3 linked regions of the Xenopus tropicalis genome follow. The protein of the gene in region 3 purifies or fractionates together with the protein of the main gene of each other region. This does not show direct contact. Links are inferred from orthologs where the notes say so. Each region holds a gene or a part of one and is shown on either strand. Other genes may lie near its edges.

Region 1 (5,121 bases), on a different chromosome or scaffold from region 3:
TGCATTTTTCCTCAGTTTTTAGTAGTGTGGAGCTCTGTAAGTAACATATTTATAATAAAGGCTAATGGTAAACATAAAGCCACAGACTGGTTATGCACTATCAAGACACTCTATGGTTAAAGTGGGATACACTTAACAGCACAAAAGGGGTCAGAAACTAATTTAGCATTTTAAAGGCCCAGGGTCCTATACAGGCCCAGACTGGCAGTCCATGGAGAGGCTGCTGTAACATGCCATAGTGTCACAATTTATTGGGCTGGTGGGGACTCTCTGTACTAGAAATGCCAGCACCTATTTTGTATTCCAGTCTGGTCCTGCTCCTGTTCAAGTATTATTTCCCTATATATAGGGGCTGATTCATCAAAGTACGTGTTCGAATCCCGAAATGGGTAAAATTCGGATTAGATACGATAATTTCTGATGATAGAAAATGTCACGAAAAATGCTTACGTAAAAATCGTAATAGTCACAATAATATCGTATTGCCAATCCGAAAGTCACCAAATTTTAGTATCCGAAGGATCGTAAACGATGGGAAAACCTTTCTGACTTTGATCCTTCTGTGCATGTTTTTTTGAAGCCTCCCATAAGACTCAATGGCACTCTGCAGCTCCAACCTGGCCCAAGGAAAGTCTCCCATAGGGCTCAATGGCACTCTGCAGCTCCAACCTGGCCCAAGGAAAGTCTCCCATTGGGCTCAATGGCACTCTGCAGCTCCAACCCGGCCCAAGGAAAGTCTCCCATAGGGCTCAATGGCACTCTGCAGCTCCAACCTGGCCCAAGGAAAGTCTCCCATAGGGCTCAATGGCACTCTGCAGCTCCAACCCGGCCCAAGGGAAGTCTCCCATAGGGCTCAATGGCACTCTGCAGCTCCAACCTGGCCCAAGGAAAGCCTCCCATAGGGCTCAATGGCACTCTGCAGCTCCAACCTGGCCCAAGGAAAGTCACGATACTGAAGCTGATGAATCCGAAACATTCATACTTGTTGCGACAAATACGATTTTGTTGTGCAAATTGTCAAAGTATGAAAAAGTTGTGCATATTAATAAAAAAGTCGCAAAAAAACGCACAGTAAGAAAACTTAGAAAAAATATGAATTATTTGTATTCGGAAACAATTGTACTTTGATAAATGTGCCCCATAGTGTTGATGGGGCCACTTTATCTACCTGTATGTTCTTATTATTAGAGGAAAGTGGAGTATCTGGAGAAAACCCACTGAGAGAAGTTACAAACTGAGCAAGATGACTGGAATCAAACCTAGGACTAGGGTTTTCACATTTACTGGATTTAAAATACTTCCCATACTTTTATCTTTGAGCCCTACTGATAACATTGGAATCAAGCATAATTTTCATGAGTCAGCTGTCAACCCTACATAGGTTTCCAGCGGCATTTGGATCACTAATACACTAAACTTGCAATGTTGCATTACCATGTGAAAATGTGCACCCTGAACGCTTGGCTACTGTCTTTATTGACATGAAAGTTGCACCAAGTGGTGCATGCAGTCATCTCTTTGCTATAATGACCCAATGATAACACTTCTGGCACTGCATGCAATTGTGAGAGGAAATGCTGCTCCACACAGTCCCGCAGTTCCAGTCACAGAGCTTCATTCTGTCCATGTTCTGGGAGAGTCACGTGTTTCACACCCAGGAGCCTGGGCTGAAGGTTACACGTTATACAGCGCACAAGCGCTTATTTATTGAAGGGGTGGGAAACTAATTGCAATACTATGTCCCCTTTCTCTGCATCTTCCTTCTTGTTACATTGCGCTCAGCTTCCCTCCCTTCCCCCACACTAGTGTCTGAGCGCGCTCCCGTCACCAACTCACCGCGTTAATGGAATAGTTGGAACTGGGCGGGGTTGCGCGTAGGGGGATGGGAACCATGGTCGCGCGCATCGTGAACGCGCATTAAGGTCACGTGACCCCCCTTTCGCCTATCGCACCGCGTTATAATGTTGGGGGTGAAGCGCGCCCCCGCGAATAAGCGTTAGAGAGGAAAAAACCTTCACAGACAGAAAAAGAGCGGGAGAGCTAGAAAAGGGCAATCATGTCTGAAGAGAAACCCAAGGTAAGCGAGATAGCGGCTTTTCCCTATCGGGGCTAGGGCGGAACGAGCAAGGAAAGGGTCAGTCGGGCCCTACGCGCAGAGGCCGGGCTGTGGGCACGGACATCAGGCAGAGACATTGGAGCCGGGCTGGTGTAAGCGTGCTGGCCTCTCCGGGGATGCCTGCTGCCTGGGCTCACTTAATAACGCCTCTCAAGAGTACGATTGCTTCTTGTTTTAGAAATACAGTACGTGGGCCTGTCGCTTTGGCTTGTGGTACCGACCCAAAGGGCAGGCCCGGTGCGTTATACCGTCATGTTGGTGTGACTGACACGGTGCTCCGTCCGGCGCTGAGCTGCCGCCATGTTGGGCCGAGCTGCGAGTTGGTTGCAAATCCCATGGCCCAGGGGACACACGTGTTACAGTGCGGCTCCATTTCCTCATGTCTCCCCGTGTGTCTCTGTACTGCCCACAGACATTAGCGTTCCCATTATTCCCCTTGGCACCAACCTCACCATATTGTGTGTCCCATTGCTCGGGGGGAGGGAACCTGACAATTGTGTTTCTGCAACTTCCGAAGCCTTGCATTGGGCTGCTAGTGACATACCCTACACAAGTCATATGGGGAAAGCACCAGGATACACCTATACCGATGGAAATACTACCTAATAATACCTTAATAGCATTGTGCGTGCTGCCAGCTAGGTTCATTTGATAAAAACCGCCTTAAAGGAGACCTCATGCGAAATAGAATGTAGCAGCACATTATACTCCTCCCCCAAACCCACTAGCCCCGCCCATCTGTTCCACTTCCTACTGCCTCCTTTCCCAGGCTGTGCAGGGGGGCCTGTAGCACACAGCACTGTAGGGTAGGAACCAATCAGCAGCTAGACTGACCTGATAGGGAACTGAAGCCTGTTGCTTGTGTGAGTGCAGGACTGTGATTGGCTCTCCCCTCTCCTGCTGTGCTTCTGGCGGGGTCCTTTAGGACACTCCCACCCCTCATTTGAAACACAGACAAGGACCTTGGAGGATTTATAGGGAGCACCATTTTTTACAGACAGTATTATGTTTTAGCTCAAAGTAAATCCAGCCCCATATATAATTCATAATTGCCTACAAGATTAGAAGTGTTTTCCTTTATCCAATATGTCTCCTTTAAAATATTCAGTTTGGTATTGCCTTAAAGGAGACATATCCTATAAAAATTAAGAATGTACCAGTGAATTATACTCCTCTAGATATAGAAGGATTGTGCTTAAAAAGTTGTGTTTCAGACTGATTTATTGAGAAATTCCACAAAACCCCACTAGCCCCGCCCATCTGTTCCACTTCCTGCTGGCTGAATTCTCTGGATGAGCTGGGGAGCCGGCGGCCCTCAGTACCCTGCACTGTAGGATAGGAACCAATCAGCAGCTAGGCTGACCTGATAGGGAATTGAAGCCTGTCTTTGCTTGTGTGAGTGCAGGGCTGTGATTGGCTATCCCCCTCCTACTGTGCTTCTGGCAGGGACCGTTAGGACACGCCCACTCTTCATTTCACACACCGACAGAGAAGCAATGGGATCTATAGGGAGCTCCAATAAAGGGGCCATTGTTACAGATAGGATTCATATTTAGCACAAAGGGAAACCAGCACTGTATATTATTCATAATTGCCTACAGGGTTAGGGTTTTCCCATTTATCTAATGTCTCCTTTAACTGTAATCCAGAGTCTCATCTAGAGCTCTTACTTTACATTTTATATCATGTTATTGGAAGCCAGCAGTATTCACACTAGCGACCGACTGGTGGTCCTGACCACTTTGCAGATCGCCACAGTACAATATGGGGTCAAGTAATATGGGCAGACCTGGCAGCTACTAACTGTTCTACTCAGCTCTGTGCTTTTGGAGCTGGTACAGGGAATACAAGTAAGGTGCTGTTGGGGGGGCAGATATCACGGGCAGATAAAATTTTCCATTCCAGACTTGAGAGCTGAAACATTTAAGTGACCCAGAGGCTTAATGGCTGAAGTCAGGCTGTTTTTGTCTCTATGGGTAGTCTATTAAGTCTTTGTAGGAGCAGTGCTGGCGTTGTCACTGTATATACTGCAGTACAAAATGTTCATCTTGGAGTGGTCATGATCAGATACTTACATAGACCTTGATAGATATCCCTGTCTCCTTCCCTGCCCTGCCTGTGTGTGTACGTGCCATATAGCTGTGCTATCCATTTCTTTCACATATGGGTTATGGGTGATATTGCTTCAGTAAACAGTGTGTTTGCCTGCGGTGCCAGTAGGTTTCATTTAGGCCCAGTTGGGTTGGGCACTTGATGGGGGGTACTTTCATTTGTTGTGGGTGAATTAACGCAAACCAGGCAAACTAAAATAGCTTAAGCATGTTCTGCCTCTAATTTTATGTAGTAATTAATATGTATTAGGCAGAGCTGGGAAGGACTTGTAGACCATGTGATTGCTTGTAAGGGCCAGTAATTGTATTGTGGAGCATAGCAGAAGCCACTGTAGGGAATGGCACAGTGGCATGGCAAGGATAAGTGTTTAGAACATGCATGAGCCCAGCAGCTGCTTTTTATTATGGAATAAAGTGGTGACAGTCTCTGGAGGGGATGGCAGTAGTCAATATATGCCCTGATATTTTTTGTTTATGTATATCAGAGGGCTATTAGTTGCTCTGCAAGCATGTGCGGAACCTTGTGTAACACTTTGGGGCACATTCATCAAAGTCCGAATACAAAAAATTAGTATTTTTTTTAAGTTTTAGAACTGTGCGTATTTTTTGCGATTTTTCGTTAATTTACGCAACATTTTTGTACAACTTGCGCGACAAAATCGTATTTGTCCCAACGAGTACAAAAGTTTCGGATTCATTCAAGCTTCAGTATCATGACTTTCCTTGGGCCAGGTTGGAGCTGCAGAGTGCCATTGAGCCCTATGGGAGACTTTCCTTGGGCCGGGTTGGAGCTGCAGAGTGCCATTGAGCCCTATGGGAGACTTTCCTTGGGCCAGGTTGGAGCTGCAGAGTGCCATTGAGCCCTATGGGAGACTTTCCTTGGGCCGGGTTGGA
Region 2 (5,003 bases), on a different chromosome or scaffold from region 3:
ATATGTTCATCTCACCTGTGCTGGCGTGTCCGTTTCATTGATTGGCTGCCCATCAAACCGGAATCTGATCTGCCTCATTGACAAACCCTGGAGGAGAAAATATATGATAAGTAAAACTGTATTGCCAGGCTTATACCCAGTATTTCTGTACCCAAATCTGATCTGGTTACCTGACGCTCACAATATGCCTTCATCAGTTTGTTGAGCGGTGTGTGCCGCTTGATCTTGAATTGCACCACTGAGCCATCCTGGCCAGCCACTTTCAGGTTGATGTGGTCGTTGTTCTCGGTCTTAACACCTTCCTAAAAGAAGTAAAAAGTGGAATGAGTGCTGGGAAGGGGCATCATGGCACAGAAACACTGGTAACGCTTGTGGTTATTCATCCCGTTGTGAGAAATGAGCTCTTTGCACCCCATTCTAGAGAATACTTTGGCACCAAATGACAAAAGAACTCTAGTTATATTAGATCTGGCCGGGGACCATGCTACATTTGGTAATGTGTTCACAACGCACAAGAAGAAAGATGGGGAGCACAGAAGTTATAAGGCTGCATGTCATTACACAAAATACACCAAATGTTCCCTTTAGAACAACAGTCACTGCTGGGAGCTACAGTTCTGGAATGTTTACTGACTGCACAGGCATTTAACTTACAACTACACTCACAAAAGCTGGTCTAGCCCCTAACCTCATCGTATATATTAGCCTTACAGTACGCTTGCCTGTGTCTCTAGGTCCCCAATTAACAGGTCCCAGTGATTAAGAGAGCAATATCACATTGAGGGCCAGTATGCAGAATAACATGGTACTGCTTCACAGTGTCACAGACCCTGAATCTAAAGACTTAATACAAGTTTAAAAGTTCTCAGAACTTTCTTTCCACTGTGCCTAATGCACCTTACCCTTCCTGCTTCTAACACGTGTTCCTCCATTACCTACACTACTTCCTCAATTCTAAAATTCCTTCCATACTAAGAATTCTCCTTCCTTAGGTCGAAGACACACAGTAGTAGCAGCTACTTGTCACAGCTACTAAAATATTCAATGCCAATCAGTTACTGATAATTCTCTGTTTTCGCAACGCTCCATACTGTCTAAGGCAGGGGATTTTCTGGTGTTTTGTAGCTGTAAAAAATTAGTTGCTGCTAGTAGCTCAGTGTGTCTTCACCCTTATGCCCCTTACTCTGCATGGAATGCCCCCAACATAACCTAGGCTTCTGGCCAGTATTAACTCTATTTAATGGCACTGAGCCCTGCATACCCATTTTCCCACCATTAAGCTCTCCCATAATACTTGCCCTTCTCACTGGCCAGAGGCTACATCTTTTCCCACTCAACATTCTTGAATTCCTCTCTCCCCAAGTTACCTCATTCCCTAAAGTCAATGCCCCCAACATACCTGGGCTCAGGGCCCCCTAAGCTCCCAATTCCCAGCCCCAGTATATGCCCCCAACATACCTGGGCTCAGGGCCCCCTAAGCTCCCAATTCCCAGCCCCAGTATATGCCCCCAACATACCTGGGCTCAGGGCCCCCTAAGCTCCCAATTCACAGCCCCAGTATATGCCCCCAACATACCTGGGCTCAGGGCCCCCTAAGCTCCCAATTCACAGCCCCAGTATATGCCCCCAACATACCTGGGCTCAGGGCCCCCTAAGCTCCCAATTCCCAGTATATGCCCCCAACATACCTGGGCTCAGGGCCCCCTAAGCTCCCAATTCCCAGTATATGCCCCCAACATACCTGGGCTCAGGGCCCCCTAAGCTCCCAATTCCCAGTATATGCCCCCAACATACCTGGGCTCAGGGCCCCCTAAGCTCCCAATTCACAGCCCCAGTATATGCCCCCAACATACCTGGGCTCAGGGCCCCCTAAGCTCCCAATTCCCAGTATATGCCCCCAACATACCTGGGCTCAGGGCCCTCTAAGCTGCCAATTCCCAGCCCCAGTATATTCCCCCCCAACATACCTGGGCTCAGGGCCCCCTAACCTCCCTATTCCCAGCCCCAGTATATGTCCCCAACATACCTAGGCTCAGAGCCCCCTAAACTGCCAATTCCCAGGCCCAGTATATTCCCCCCCCAACATACCTGGGCTCAGGGCCCCCTAACCTCCCAATTCCCAGCCCCAGTATATTCCCCCACAACATACCTGGGCTCAGGCCCCCCTAATATCCCTATTCCCAGTATAGCCAAGGTCGCCCATTCCCATTTACTTCCCATCTCCCAATACTGGCAGTGCCCAACATACCCTTCCCCAGTGCTCCCTGGTTCCTGTCCTCCCTTCCCCAGTGCTCCCTGGCTCCTGTGCTCCCTTCCCCAGTGCTCCCTGGTTCCTGTGCTCCCTGGTTCCTGTGCTCCCTTCCCCAGTGCTCCCTTCCCCAGTGCTCCCTTCCCCAGTGCTCCCTTCCCCAGTGCTCCCTTCCCCAGTGCTCCCTTCCCCAGTGCTCCCTTCCCCAGTGCTCCCTTCCCCAGTGCTCCCTTCCCCAGTGCTCCCTTCCCCAGTGCTCCCTTCCCCTGTGCTCCCTTCCCCTGTGCTCCCTTCCCCTGTGCTCCCTTCCCCTGTGCTCCCTTCCCCTGTGCTCCCTTCCCCTGTGCTCCCTTCCCCTGTGCTCCCTTCCCCTGTGCTCCCTTCCCCAGTGCTCCCTTCCCCAGTGCTCCCTGGTTCCTGTGCTCCCTTCCCCAGTGCTCCCTTCCCCTGTGCTCCCTTCCCCAGTGCTCCCTTCCCCTGTGCTCCCTTCCCCAGTGCTCCCTTCCCCAGTGCTCCCTTCCCCAGTGCTCCCTTCCCCAGTGCTCCCTGGTTCCTGTGCTCCCTTCCCCATAAACCTAGTGGGCCAATGCAGTGCAGCCTCCCATAACCAAGCCCCGCTAGTATGGGCGTCCCTCTCCCGGCTGTCTCCCTACGGGCCCCTCCCGTACCCACAGAGCCCCCGCACAGCCCGCAGGCCGCTGCCCCCTCCCTTTAGCGCCTAGGCCTCTCCCTCCTCCTGCCCCGCACCCACTGCCCCCGGCCCCAAGCCCGCTATGCGACCCTTCCCTCTCCCAGCCCGGAGCAGGACCTTGGGCTTATCGTCCGCCATTGTCAGTTCGCTCCCGGTGCCCGGTACTCTCGCTGCTGCCTCCTCCTCACAAAGAGCCTGAACTGGCGCGGGACGTGGAACGAGAGCGCGCACGTACGGAAAGGAAGATTTGGCGCACTCTCTGCGTGCGCGCCCCCGCCGCTATTTCCACTGTAGGGAAAAGCCCGCCTTGGGGAGCACGTGGCGGCGGGGGCGCGCATGGGGGGAGGGGTCTGACTCTGAGGAGAGTCAGGGTGAGGTTGGGCCGCATTGTACCCGGGATTGGCTAAATCCCTTCCAGTGACTTCATTGGCCTAGTCTCATAGAGGGGGCAGGAGCCATGATAGAAGCTTCCAGAAACAGCCCCCCCTATAATTAAGCCAAAGGAGGAAGCCATACCAGTTGCCATACCAGTTACCTTTTCACTAAAACTTTATTTTGATCAGTCCTGCACTTAAGGGCAAATGCCCATACCTGGTGCCTCTTACCTTCCAGTTTGTGCCTGTATGTTACCCAACCACTTAGATTGTAAGCTCTACGGGGCAGGGACCTCCTTCCTACTGTGTCTCATACCCCATGGCACTTACTCCCTGTGTATTTATACTTATTTATTGAAATTTATTATAACACTTGCCCTACCTGTGGGTAATTGTGTATATTGTAAGATTGTACAGTGCTGCGTATCCTTGTGGCGCTTTATAAATAAAGTTATACATACCAAAAACATAGAGAAGCTAACCATATCCAAAGCTACCAGACAAAACATAAAAATCATATCCAAACCATATCCAAAGTTACCAGACAAAACATAAAAATCATATCCAAACCATATCCAAAGTTACCAGACAAAACATAAAAATCATATCCAAACCATATCCAAAGTTACCAGACAAAACATAAAAATCATATCCAAACCATATCCAAAGTTTCCAGACAAAACATAAAAATCATGGAAGGTGGCTGCCCTTTTAGGGACATAAAATACAGCCATTTCCCAGGGTGGGACTGGACGAGCGGAACGATAGGAGAAAAACCGTCTGTTGAGGTGGTGGACCCCACACACCTCATTCCAACACTGGGATTTACTGTCTTTCTTCCCTATTTACTGTTAATAACACTGACAGCCTTCTGCTCCTCATAGTTACCCCCCCAAAAATGAAAAGGCCTAAAACCCACCCAAAATTGCCTAGGGTACAAGCAGTGCATATTGGGACATGGTTATAAGGGCATTTATTTTCTTTCATTTGGAGTTTGCTTGTAAGGTGGAGATCTGTAAACAACAAAGGGATGACAATACAAATGTCACAAGCAAAAGGGAGAAACCACAGCAAATATTTTAAATAAAGGGGAGAGTAAATTGCATATCAAAATAAATGAGTCATAAGTATTATATGAGATCAGCAGCCATTCTTCTGATCCAAACATAACTTGAAACAAAAGAAAACACCATGTGGTTCAAAGTTGGTCTACTCTCTATGTTAGTGCAGTCTGCACCCAACACCCATCCTAAAGGTGGCCATATGGCAGGGTTGCCAAATGTGCGGATCGTGACTCCTGATATGCCCCCCTACAAATTAAACCGGCGGGTATATGGGCAATCGGAATCAATGAGGCAATGCTGTCCCCGATTTGATGGGAAAATCAAACCTGCTGGATCAAGTTCTGGTCAATTTTAGGCCAGATATCAGTTGGGTAGGCCTGTCAGGGGTTCCCATACAAGGGCTAATAAGGTGCTGTATTTGTCTGATAGACCTGAATCGCCAGCTGAAATCTGCCCGAGTATGGCCACCTTAAAGGAATGCTGTCATGGGAAAACATGCCTTTGTAAAATGAATCAGTTAATAGCGCTTCTCCAGCAGAATCCTGCATTGAAATCCATTTTTGAAAGGACAAACAGAATTTTTAGATTTAATTTTTAAAATCCACATGGGGCTAGCCATATTCTTA
Region 3 (5,118 bases):
CTAGAAACAGCCAATTAGCTTGCATTTTGCTTAAAAACTAAAACTTGATAATGCTCTGATGTCTTAACAGAAAAGCCCAAGGTTTGATTTAATGTTGCTGATGTTAAATGTACGGGAATAGGTTGAAGACGCAAGTCTGATCCTATACATGCTCGTAAGAAATCTCTAGCAGGAATGCCCTCTAGTGGCTGCATAGCCTATATCCAACTAAGGACTTTATACTTTTATCTCGCTTTACAACTAAAAACAAAGAAAATACAATAGTAGAAGCAATATTAAAAAAAAAACTAAACAACAACAGTGTTCTTCTTGAGCCATTCTGTGCAGTGACACTGTTTCTCTGCATATTACCAGTAAACAAGGAGGTTCATTATGCAGGGGAATATGGTAATCTAATTAGCTACCTAGCAAAGACCAAACAGGGTCTTGTTTAAACTAAAATAGGAAAACGTTCTGTTAAGCACAATTCCTGTTTTATCAAACTCATGTTGTTGACATTGCCCCTTTAAGGAATCCAAAGTGGTATTTGCTCATTAGTGTAGAAATGCTGCTCATTGGTCAGAATGGACCCTTTAGAAAGGCAGTCAGGCTGGCTATTGGCAGACACTGGGCCTGAGTACAGCTGCAGTGAAAATGCTGTGTGTGGCATTATCTTTAGGATGTATTAACATTAATGGACAGCACCAGTAAATCAAGAGTAGATGCTCCATAAAAAGGTTTTTAAGTTCTGCATTCCTAGGTTTGATTCTCACATACGCTTGCAAATCTAGTAGCATGTAGCAAAGGTACCTGATGGTTTTCTTGTTTTTATTTTATTTTTTCTAACCTCACTGCCATCTTTAATACCAAACTGGACTCTTGGATTCAATGGCGATCTACTTCATATACATTTTGACTGGGCTGCAATGTTGCGGACAAGGCAGATGGGCAAGGGCATTCTACTGATTTGAATATGCACAAGACATCATTTGCATGCTAGCAAATGTGAAATAGGAGCTCTAAAAATCTAAATCAAGGTTTTAACAGAGGCACTGTGCACTGTGTCTTTAATCCTATATCTGGGCAAATTATATCCGAGCTAAATTATTACAAAATCAAGATATTACCAGGTGTAATCTATGAGGAACATTACCAGCCATTTCATTCTGCAAGCAGTTAGAAAGAAGAGTAGTGCAATACAAATGCTAGATTTTATCCCTACATTTTTTTTCCATGTATCTAAAAGTTATGCTTAATCCCTTTGCCACAGATCTTTAGAATTTCCAGGTGTGCAAGCATTAAATCAGTTTATAAAGCTCATTCAGTACTTGTGACTTTCCCCTGACCCTAGGCAACAAAGAAAGCTGGGGAAAGGGTGGCCTCTGGGTCAAGATCTCTCCAGGGGCCAAGGACAATGTGATAATCATATATCTGTCTTGCTGTTTAGTTCAGCAACCAGGGTTTGTTTCTTAATGCCTTGTTTGGTATATATATGTATTAATTTAATGCATCCATTAGTGAGTATGATGATAATATAGCTTAATGTCCTCTTTAAATAAGCAAAAACATTATTGTAGCTTTGAAAATGGTTTAAATAATGTCCTAACCTGCTCATGGTCCAGCAATGTTAATGCCTTCACTCCAGCCAAGATTAAGTTTTTGGCAACTTCAGCCCCAAGTCCTCGCATGCCCACCAAGAGAACTCTGGAAGTGCGCAGCCTAGAAAAAGAATTGGAAACACACATACTATATGATAGCTATTCAACCCCTTAAATGCAGTTGTTTTTAGGCTTAAACCCTTGTTTAGGCCCCTTAACTCATAAGGAGTCAGTGCATCCACTTACAGAATGCATCAAGTTGCTGTGTTAATCAATAAACTGGTTTACTAAACTCATACTAAGAAATGGTGTGAGGGTAAGCACAACTATTACTCTAAAACTGACATTTTATAAAAACTGAAAAAAAATACATTTTAAGCAATTAGAAAAAAAAAAACCAAATTTGTGGTACACTGTTTGAGAACAGGTTTTGTCATGGTAAACTGTGCATTTAAGTCAGTGATCCCCAACCAGTTGCTCACCAACCCCTTGGATGTTGCTCAGTGCCCCCAAACCAGGTAGTTATTTTTAAATTCCTGACTTGGTGGCAAGTTTTGGTTGAATAGAAACAGGATTTCCTACCAAATAAAGCCCCCTGTAAGCTGACAGCGTGCATAGAGGCTGCCTAATAGCCAATCTTAGCCCTTATTTGGCACCTCCATGAACTTATGATGCTTGTGTTGCTCTCCAAGTCTTTTTACATTTGACTGCGGCTCACGAGCAAGAAAGGTTGGGGATCCCTGATTGAAGTAGTCAATATAAGTTTAAAAGTTGGTGTATTTAGCTTAAGAAAACATCTGCATTTAATGGTATCACTGTCAAGCCTACTCTCATCTATTAATGGCCAGATTATGGTGACAAACATTGTGTCGCCCTTTGTTAAAGAAAATAAGATTGTGCCTAGTAGCTAGAACTGATTCTTGTACATGGCAATATCTAATACCAGATCTTCAACTTCCCAGTGCATAGTGAATTATAAGCAAATTTGCTCTCTGCACATGCCATGGTGCTCAATACTCCCTATACTGTCCATGCCAGACAGTTCTTAATCCACGTGTGCTGCACTCCAGGCTAGATACTTACTTTTTTCCCTTGTAATAATACTGGCATCATGCACCATTTCTAATGGCCAAGTGGCAACCTCACGCATATCAGGCAGCTTTCCCCTGTACTATATATGTTGGGCTCTTCTCTTTTTTTTGTGCACACCAACTCACCCCCCCAGGTATTGAGCCTTACCTTGTATTACACAAAATCAAAACTTCTGCATGTCTATATGTTCTCCACATTAGAACGTAAGCAGAAAGTCTATGTGATTAACATAATATGTGCTGCGAGGCTCAGCGAGTGTAAAACACAGGTGTCAAACGTTGAAAAGGGTGGGAAGCCGTTCTCCCCAATGGTAATAGGCATAACAATGCTAGATACAGATAGCCAACATGCCATCCCATGCTCTAAATGTTATGCTTGTTTTCATTAAACAAATGGCTGTCCGCGCCAGGCCTCCCCTAATGTATTATCATCATCATTACCTCTTCTGTGCCTCCAGCCCCCACAAGCGGATCTGCCGGTCATACTGCGCCGCCTCTTCCTCACTGATCACTGCCTCCTCCTTCTCCACCATTCTGCTAATCTCTCCCTACAAAAGCCGGTTGTTCCCACACCGAATGAATGGAGACCGAAGTGAAAGCGAGGAGAAAAAGGGGAAGAACCTAAAGCGTCATCTAAGGACGGACTGACACGTGACCATTAAGCGCCCTCCTTTTCCGGCCTGGAGTTGAAGCATTTTACTTCCGAGGGTAGTGATGTTTTTGCTCTTGGCGCTGTCAGTGTGCTCTGTGCTCTCTGTGTTGAAGTCATTCTGTTGGGGTATTTTTTAGTTTACCAACACTAAATTGTAAAGCCGCAATAGTCTATAGTGCTGTACAGTAAAAGGGTGCATATATCGCGCATACAAATACTGAAGTGTTCCTTTGTGTTTTTTTTTTTTTTTTTTTTTTTTAAATGGGTGTTGGCCTTGGAGATCTCTCACCAATAAAAGCCACAGCAGGGGAGGATCAGCCTGTGGGATCAATGCTTTGGTCAGGAGATTTTTTTTTACAATAAATGGATCCATGTATAGTGGTGCTGGCCTATGAAAAGTATGACTAGTGCAGTGATTCTCAACCTTCCCTTTAATACAGTTCTTCATGTTGTGATGATGAAATAGGTGACCCCTGTGAAAGGGTTGTTTGACCCCCAGGTTGAGAACCACTGGACTAGAGGTAAAAATTTGGGACCACCATATGGAATTCACCTTGAAGTGGTATGGTGGCCTGGCAATTTTATAATCAGAACCTTGTAACCAAAATGTGCACTTGCACAGCCTAAATTATTCATAGAACAGGGCCACATAATGTGCATTAATCAATTCTGTCTTTAGTATGTTCATGATTAAAGGAACAGTAACACCAAAAAATGAAAGTGTTTTAAAGTATTGGAAACATAACGTACTGTGGCCCTGCAATGGTAAAACTGGGGTATTTGCTTCAGGAACACTACTATAGTTTATATAAATAAGCTGCTGTGTAGCCATGGGGGCAGCCATTCAAGCTGGAGAAAAGGAACAGGTTACATAGCAGATAACAGATAAGACACCATTGTATTCTACAGGGTTTATCTGTTAGCTGCTATATAAGCTGTGCCTATTCTTCTTTTGAATGGCTGCCCCCATGGCTACACACCAGGGTTTATATAAACTCTAGTAATGTTTCTGAAGCAAACACAAAACTTTTACCAGTGCAGGGCAGCATTATAGTCTAATTCCTTTAAAATAAATACATTTTTTTGGTGTTACTGTTCTTTTAATATGGATTATCAAAGTATTTGAGATGTAGAATATTTTGCATTTGCTGTTGTCAGGGACCTCTGGGTTGAGTGATTCCCAAGGGGCTACTTGTGTCCCCCTCCACTCATTGCTTAGGATGCTGCAGATCTTAAATCTGTGGTACTTTGATGTTTTTGTCCACAGATTTCAGATGCAGTTATCTGTTGCACTATAAAACCAGTTAAAAATATAAACAGAAACAAAATAAAAAAACTTTAAAAAAAAATATAAACAGAAAAAAGATAAGGGTCATAAGCAGAGCATAAGTACAAAAAAACATACATACATATGTGCATATATGGGTTTTTTAGACCCTTAAAGTGATGAATTTTAAGCCCCCAGACAGAGTGAATTACAAAAAAAGGTAAAAGGCACAAATAAAAAAAATACTGAAATAGCTGGGATTGCTAAATTGGAAGTTACTCCAGTTTTTATAAATGAGACCCATTTTGCTTTGAATACATACCCAACTGTGATGGGTACCTCTTACTACTAATGAAAGTACACAGAATAATAGTTAAAGATCAAGAGTCAAAATTATCAGGATGTGCCAAATATTTAGGCATCCCCCATATTAAAAGTTTCTAACCTTTCACCATAGGATAGTGCACCTCTTTAAAAAATGGTTATGCCTGGTGTAGTACTTTCAGAGTGCAGTGGAGCCATATTTCCAGT

What was found. Proteins that work in one complex are often made in the same cells at the same time.
Region 1: the proteins of sae1 (region 3) and sumo3 purify together in Homo sapiens (affinity purification with mass spectrometry; 3 studies listed by BioGRID and IntAct, with this or other methods). This does not show direct contact. The link is inferred for Xenopus tropicalis from reciprocal best matches to the Homo sapiens genes SAE1 and SUMO3.
Region 2: the proteins of sae1 (region 3) and sumo2 purify together in Homo sapiens (affinity purification with mass spectrometry; 3 studies listed by BioGRID and IntAct, with this or other methods). This does not show direct contact. The link is inferred for Xenopus tropicalis from reciprocal best matches to the Homo sapiens genes SAE1 and SUMO2.

Annotation. Positions count from the first base shown.
Region 1 is NC_030685.2:55,088,943-55,094,063, forward strand, and holds the start of sumo3 (small ubiquitin-related modifier 3), read left to right. Parts: upstream 1-2,034; 5' UTR 2,035-2,056; coding exon 2,057-2,077; intron 2,078-5,121. UniProt on the Homo sapiens protein: Ubiquitin-like protein which can be covalently attached to target lysines either as a monomer or as a lysine-linked polymer. Does not seem to be involved in protein degradation and may function as an antagonist of ubiquitin in the degradation process.
Region 2 is NC_030686.2:44,410,485-44,415,487, reverse strand, and holds the start of sumo2 (small ubiquitin-related modifier 2 precursor), read right to left. Parts: upstream 3,088-5,003; 5' UTR 3,078-3,087; coding exon 3,057-3,077; intron 2,347-3,056; exon of another isoform or gene 2,110-2,346; intron 1,763-2,109; exon of another isoform or gene 905-1,762; intron 303-904; coding exon 171-302; intron 88-170; coding exon 16-87; intron 1-15. UniProt on the Homo sapiens protein: Ubiquitin-like protein that can be covalently attached to proteins as a monomer or as a lysine-linked polymer.
Region 3 is NC_030684.2:77,092,600-77,097,717, forward strand, and holds the start of sae1 (SUMO-activating enzyme subunit 1), read right to left. Parts: upstream 3,206-5,118; 5' UTR 3,202-3,205; coding exon 3,110-3,201; intron 1,699-3,109; coding exon 1,587-1,698; intron 1-1,586. UniProt on the Homo sapiens protein: The heterodimer acts as an E1 ligase for SUMO1, SUMO2, SUMO3, and probably SUMO4. It mediates ATP-dependent activation of SUMO proteins followed by formation of a thioester bond between a SUMO protein and a conserved active site cysteine residue on UBA2/SAE2.